Linked DNA regions of Saccharomyces cerevisiae S288C. Changing the gene in region 2 together with the main gene of any one other region gives a genetic interaction. Each region holds a gene or a part of one and is shown on either strand. Other genes may lie near its edges. The genes, in order: RTK1 and GON7.

The links.
Region 1: mutations in GON7 (region 2) and RTK1 together harm fitness more than expected from each alone (negative genetic interaction), as found in Saccharomyces cerevisiae (one large-scale study listed by BioGRID).

Annotation. Positions count from the first base shown.
Region 1 is NC_001136.10:404,583-409,096, reverse strand, and holds RTK1 (putative serine/threonine protein kinase RTK1), read left to right. Parts: upstream 1-1,890; coding exon 1,891-3,753; downstream 3,754-4,514. Other genes in the region: putative acid phosphatase DIA3, read left to right, coding at 1-646; MRX9 (Mrx9p), read left to right, coding at 4,140-4,514. UniProt on the Saccharomyces cerevisiae protein: Probable serine/threonine-protein kinase that may be involved in ribosome biogenesis.
Region 2 is NC_001142.9:81,123-84,319, reverse strand, and holds GON7 (chromatin DNA-binding EKC/KEOPS complex subunit GON7), read right to left. Parts: upstream 873-3,197; coding exon 501-872; downstream 1-500. Other genes in the region: MNN11 (alpha-1,6-mannosyltransferase), read right to left, coding at 1-252; ATG36 (Atg36p), read left to right, coding at 1,344-2,225; alpha-1,2-mannosyltransferase MNN5, read right to left, coding at 2,405-3,197. UniProt on the Saccharomyces cerevisiae protein: Component of the EKC/KEOPS complex that is required for the formation of a threonylcarbamoyl group on adenosine at position 37 (t(6)A37) in tRNAs that read codons beginning with adenine.

The DNA.
Region 1 (4,514 bases), on a different chromosome or scaffold from region 2:
GAAAGATGCAGCGGCCTTGTTTTCTTGGTGTGCCTTCGAGTTGAACGCAAAAGGTTATAGTAACATTTGTGACATTTTCTCCGCGGCAGAGTTAATACATTATTCTTATGAGACTGATTTGACGAGCTTCTACCAAAATGGTCCCGGATACAAATTGATTAAATCTATAGGTGCTAATTTGTTCAATGCAACAGTGAAGCTAATACGACAAAGTGCGCACTTGGACCAAAAAGTTTGGCTGAGCTTTACGCACGATACTGATATTCTAAATTATTTGACAACTGCTGGATTGATTGATGACACTAGAAATTTAACAACCAATCATGTTCCCTTTCGTGATCATTCCTACCACAGGTCGTGGTACATTCCTCAGGGAGCTAGAGTCTACACAGAAAAGTTTCAATGCTCAAACGATTCGTACGTCCGTTATGTGGTCAACGATGCTGTGGTTCCTATAGAGAGTTGCTCCAGTGGTCCAGGTTTTTCATGTGAAGAGGGCACATTTTACGAGTATGCCAAAGACAGATTACGAGGTGTGAGCTTCTATGAAGATTGCGACGTCTCCAAAGTTAGCAAAGAAAAGGAATTGACGTTTTACTGGGATTGGAACACAACAAGGTATAACGCATCCTTAGTGAATCAATAAGCCATGCATGGGCAGAAATAAAAAAAAATAGGAAATTGTCTTTACATAACATGGTCACAAAGTAATATTCCGCATCGTTCTTCCTTCAGCAAACCGAAGGGGAGCGAATTGAGCCTTCAAGCTACATCTAAAAGAGATTCCACTAACAAGTTCTGCGGTTATTACATATTTTTGTACTACAGAGAATTTAATTGCACCCGCTTTATCACCCTCGTTATTTATATTCTTTTCTGGAATATTTAGATATGCGTCATTTGATTATTGTTGTTTTTTTTTTTTGTTTTTTTACTTTCATTACATCGCTAAATATAATATAAAAGAGATGAACGGCTATTCTTTCTGAATATCGAAAGTTAAAACTCGGATAGAAAATTCACAAGAACATAAAAGAAAACTTCCGGATTTCAAAGGCGGTTCTGGTATTGGGAAACTTCCACAACATATCTCAAATTCAAACTGAAAAGTCCTCAGTGTCTTTTATTCGAAACTCCGGGAAAGCACTGCTTGAATGGATTAAGTAAACTTGAAATAAATTTTTTACTTCTACAGCTAAAATGTGAAATATAGTGTCCGCTTCCACCAAAGGCGTTTATTTTCTCGAAATGAACCTGTGAATAACACAGCTGGCTCCAACTCAAACACTCAACTGCGTCATTTCTTATTCGCTTTCCAAATCATGCATGATTTTTCTTTCTCTTGCCTGCAGTGCTCGTTTCACCGCTCGCGTACTCGTCCATTCTTTGTCAGCGAAGAGGCTCTAACAGTGGAGAGCACATCTGGCAAGTAAAATGATAGGTTGCGCAAGGGGGTAGGGGAATGACTAATAAAGCATTACTACCATCATACCAAGTTCCCATTCATGTACACATAGTCTCTTTAATTGCCTTCTTGAATGGAGGCCAGTAGATATTTGGAGAAGCTTTTCTTGCAGTTCGGGTAATATCGAACGGCGTACATCTATAAGGGGAAAAGCTACTTCCGCTTCTCATATATCTATTTTGCAGTGTGACTCTTCCTGGCTTGCTAAGTATTGTACCTGTTATGGGGCAAGCAAGATTTCTCATTGAAAAAAGATATAATACTTATTTGCAGCCAATAGTGACGGATTCTAGTGTTCTTCTTTTCCATAAGTTGATTACGCTATTCACCCAAACTGACTCTTTAGTGCGCTAATAAGCTGAGAGGATTTGAGAGGGAAAAAAAGAGAGAAGGACAGAAAAGAGCAGCCTGAAATTCATAGCATAATGGTTAAGGAAACTCCATTACACTCATCTTCATCAACTTCGCTGTCTTCATTATTTAGGCCAACTAAGTTGAAGAATTTATCGGCTAAAATATTCAATGGAGGTGGTAACCAATCATACTCAAAGACAGATGATGTTTCAAGGTCTTCTTCTAGATCTTCAAAAAAGAATACAGATTCTGACCAAGAGGATCAAATAAAGTATAACAAACCCAACGACCGAAGATCTACCATAGGAAAGAGCCCCCAGGGAAATGGCGCGTTGTCAAAGGAGTCACACGTAGTAGCAAGTTCTACTTTGACAGGTATTTCTCCTACTTCAGCTAAAAAAGCTCCTATTGACTACTCTCCTTCACGGCCCTTACCTAACAATCATAATCCCGTTCGTACGGGACACACTGTGCCCCACTTACCCCATAGTATTCACAATCCAATAAACTACATTCATCAAGGCTCAAAAGATGCTTTCCACCATCCTCACCCCGTTCGCTCTACAGCTCATAGCAACATTTCTACAGTGTCTTCTGCAAAATCTGATACACCCTCTTCGAATTTATCATACCAGGCACATATGCATCCCGTAGAGATACTACAGAAACAGATTGAAGACAAACACTTCATGGACTCTCAAGCCTCCACCCCTGGGTCCGTGGAACTACAGCATAATTCTTCAAGCGGTAGTGATGATACCTCATCAAGAAAGAAAAAATCCTTGAGATTAACAAGATTTTTCAAAAAAATTCATAATGATTATCACGATAACCATCATCATCACCACCATCACAACCGTGGATCCACCCCTACAAAACCGAAGCTCAATTTGAACACCAATGAAAATATAGTAGAAAGTAACGGAAAAGCGTTATACGAAACAGATAACCCAGTGGAGCTATTAGAAAAATATGGTATTCCTGGTAGAAAATTAGGCGAAGGAGCTTCCGGTTCAGTGTCCGTAGTAGAAAGAACAGACGGCAAGTTATTTGCTTGCAAAATGTTCAGAAAACCACACTTAAACAATGAAGGAACTAATCAGTCTCAATTAGCTAATTATTCTAAGAAGGTTACCACTGAATTTTGTATTGGTTCCACGCTGCACCACGAAAATATCGTTGAAACCCTAGATATGTTGACTGAAGGTGACACCTATTTATTAGTAATGGAGTATGCGCCATATGATTTTTTTAATCTCGTCATGAGTAACCTAATGACACAAGATGAAGTCAACTGTTACTTCAAGCAGCTGTGCCACGGCGTTAATTACCTGCACTCTATGGGCTTAGCTCATAGGGATTTAAAATTGGACAATTGTGTCGTCACTAAAGATGGCATCTTGAAACTGATTGACTTTGGGAGCGCTGTAGTGTTCCAATACCCTTACGAAGATACCATTGTAAAATCACATGGAATCGTGGGTTCTGACCCTTATTTGGCTCCTGAGTTATTGAAACAAACATCCTACGATCCAAGAGTAGCAGATGTGTGGTCTATCGCTATTATATTTTACTGTATGGTCCTTAAAAGATTTCCTTGGAAGGCTCCAAAAAAGAGCTTCAACTCATTTAGGTTATTTACTGAGGAACCTGAGGACGAAGATGATATAGTTCGGGGGCCAAATAAAATATTAAGGCTACTGCCAAGACATTCACGGACAATAATAGGCAGAATGTTGGCTTTAGAACCAAAGCAAAGAGTTTTAATGAATGACGTGGTAAAGGATGATTGGCTTGTATCCGTCCCCTCCTGTGAAGTTGACCCTACATCTGGCGATTTGGTTGAAAAACCAAAGAATCATAAGCATCACTTGGTCACTGAGGAGGAGTTGAATGAGCTGACCAAGCAACACGGGAATAAAGATTCAAATTAATGAAATAAACACTTTTTAAAAGATAAAACCTAAAAAATTGTATATAGAAGATTCAAAGTACTATAAAAGGCATTATATAGGAATAAAAGATGGTGTGCATACAGGTGAAAAAGAAAACTAGTTAAATCTGGAAAAAAAAAACGCTCATATATATACAAAAACATAAATACATTCGTCAAAACAAAAAGCGCTTAAATAAATAAAAGCATTTTTTAGATAATCTCAACGGGCGCCAAATTGAAGTCACCCGACGCATAAAATTGTGAACACGCCCTATTAGATTTTACAAAGAGGAAGTCTCCTCCCCTATAAACTGCAAAGAATAATTGAAAAGTGATTTAGCGCAGATAAATAAGACCACCATAACCACATATGAGTAGGAAAAAATGTTCAAAGTTCCAGTGGGATTAGCCAGTAGGACAAGGGAGCTTATGAACAGCGTTACGCTCAATAGTCTCAATAATGGAAAGGGTTTCAATATGTACTTGCCAGGAATATTAAGGGCTTTTCCTAAACCAGTGCCTTCGGCGATTACATCTCCCGCAATTCCAAAATATCGAGGAGAAAGTTTCCAGTTTCGTAAGCTTTCATGCATTTCTTCTAATTATTGTTCTACCACTCACCAATTTCTATCCAGTCTGAAAAGCTCGACATCCAGGTTGGTTGGTAAAAGAGCCTTCCATTCGTCACGACGTGCAGAAATAAAGTTTATATTTTCTTCGAAGTCACCAAAGAACGGTAACAAGCCGTTTGTGAAAGTA
Region 2 (3,197 bases):
AATCAACCGGCTGGAGGCAGGAATTTCGTTAATATACAGCCCATGGGATGGAGAATATGATGCACCGGCGGAACGAGAAATTGGATAGAAGCGATTGGAGAAGAAATAGAGGATAAAAACAAAGGCCGTTATTATCGACAAAAATTTACAAGTTCCGTACTTGTTCTGCTTGAAACCAAGCCTGTTGAACCACTGCGAACCCACCGATCTTGAGGAGTACGTTTTGCCCTTCGTTCTTGGTTTGATTGCCATTTTAACGAGTCCTAACACAGCTAACACCAACAACAAACCGGCAGGATGATTCCAAGTTGAAAATTGGCTTTCTTCGCATCATTTAGGAGTCGATCAATCCTTCTTAACTGTATCCCATCGTGTGTTTATTATTTTTTTATATCAACTCTTCCTAGTTCAACAATTATCACTTGTAACGAAATATTTGTCATTTATCATTAGACTCTTTTCTGTTTGTATATACACTCTCTAGCGCTACATATCGTTGCCTAAACAGCATCTTCGTCACCGTCACCACCATCTAATAGCTGGTTAATCTCTTCCTGGATCCGCTTCTCGTCTGCGCCGGCTTTCTTCTTATTTTTTGCCAATTCCATTCTTCCTGTCAAAAACTCGTTAATATCGTCCTGTAGCCCCGTCAGCTGCGTGCGCAGCTGGCCTAAGTATGTCAGTTGTGAGCCATCTTTCGTGCGTTCCGGTTCTGAAGGTTTGTCTCTATCGATTTGGCCAGCGTTTAGCACATGGTCACTGGGCCCAGTTGTCCTTCCCTCTGTGGTCATGTATCGAGGGTCATCGCGTATTGGTGCAAAACTTTTTTCCACACCATCTGGTGCACTGTACTGTGCTACCGGTAGTTTCATTGAGATATTAGGATAAGGTTCCAGTGCACTATCGGCTGTATATATTTATTTAGCTCTAACTTGGTTCAGTAAAACTACCAATAATCAGATGGGATATTCTTAAGTTACTCATTACTAGAGATCCGGGTAAAATTTTTGACCTGACAAGGCCGTAACACTGGAAACAGGAAGATCAACAAAGAAACTAAATAAACACCTATCGTAGTTGCTAATATAGAGCTTTAAAAAATCACGCTCTGTGGTGCTAAGACACTATTCTATTGTGCCATCACTAGAGCATTCGCGTTAAGATACTTTCACCAAGATAAACATCGTTATACACGTACGATCTACGTGCGGCTGTAGCGTAATCCCGAATAATACAAATCTTTTGAAGGGATAGATTTCTATATACTTACGAATGTCGACAAGGAGCAAAGGTTGTATTCAGGGCTTAAAATACTAAAATTTGGTGGTCAGTACAGCTCATTAATGGCATCTGTGAACAATTACCAGGTTGATTGCGGGTCAAGGTCTGCTCGCATTCAACCCAGAATTAATAACGGCATTCACGATGAAGAATCGCTATTTGAAGTCCTGGAACTCTCAGAAGAGGAATTTGAGCTAGACTTCCATAGATTAAAGTCATTCAATGATGTAAGGGTTATCAATAACCCAGATTTATCTCCAGAATGTACAAATACTGCCATTAGTCGCGATGAGACACTGGAATCTGCAAGTAGTGCCTTCGAAGTTCCTTCTGACGAAATTGCTATACTGTCGATATCCAGTGACAGCAATAAAAATTCTCCGCCCTCAGAGCAGCCGGCGCCCGCTCTTCGTAACATTCGATCGTCTAGTAACTCTGACCGGATCGATGAGTGGTGTTTGGGCAGCCATTTATTTAATGAGCTGCATCAAAATGTCCCTCAATCAAGCGACGGTGTCAATCATGGATTTCCCGTTTATTCCTTTAAGGAAAGAGAACTTTATACCTCTGCGAAATTAAAGAAACTTACAAATGCCCAAAGAATTGCTGTGCAGAAACTATCAAGAGACTTGTATCCAATTCTAAGAACATGCTACCGCGAGAAAACTCGCCGGCAATTATTGACATACCATCATGAAAGAATATTTGACGATATACCATCTTTTTTCCCCCAGCGTGACTTTATTTTCAATTACTACTCGATGCCTCTTGAATTCGACAGGTTGTCAGACGTAGATATAGATTCGTCATCGCGGTCACGATTTACAGATGAGAGCACTGGAGAAACATTAAACCGTTCACCAAGCGCAGCGTCTTCGTCGTTGGAAAACACATCTTGGTTTGGCTGGACTTTACTTTCTAGGTTTTTGGACAGAGAATGGTAGAAGAAAGTTAGATACCCTCATTCTAAAACGTTGTCCGAACACCATCAGTTAGTTTTTTCTTGGTTTCATTTTTTCATTTTTTTCTAAGATGTATATATATCCGTGCACATATATGCTACATTATATTATACAAGGTCGGATGGCGAGTTATTATTAAATTATTATAGTTAATCACTTCATTAGTTTTTCTCCCCCATAGCTTCTTTGTGTGTGCTCTCCAGATAATTAACATGATTGGTCAAATACTCACACATTGCATCCCATTCTGGGGTATTAACTTTATCGGTAAAATACTTGAATTTAATAACTTGGCTTTTCGGAGTGGTACAGAAGGACCCCCTCATATCATTGAATAAAAACAATTCAAAATCCATTCCATAGCGATGCGGCTTCCTGAAGCCCCGTACTTGTTCGCCATTTGGACCGATAAATCTGTTTTCATGATAAAGAGTCCATGGATCTGCCTTGTAGAAACTGGCATGAATGAACATGATATCCAAATCAGAACCGTCATCATTAACCATCAAAGTTTTCAAGAAACCATTGTCCAAAGTATAATCTGGATCCAGTTTGGAAAATTCCTCAATGTTGGCTTTAACTTTCTGCTGCGCCTTTTGGTATTGCTTGTAATCTTGTTCAAAATCATGCTGGAGCAAGGCGAGACCCTTGTAATCATCTTTTTGATAGAAGAAACCATCAAATTCAAAGTTAGTCCTCACTTGATAGTATGGCATATTCAAGGCATGGGCAGCAGCGACGAAAGTGTCTTTGTCACCTTCACCGGCAGTGCCTTGAGAAATCATCTTATAATACCAGGTAGGCCCATAAACATTATAGTATAGCGCCAGTAATAGAGTGTTGAAATGGCGAATCTTATCAATCACCATCTGGCCTGATTCAGAGCTCAAGTCTGGCATCGTGCCGTCCAGATCATGTAAGGGAACATGTTTCAGGAAATGCTCCTGTCTCTCC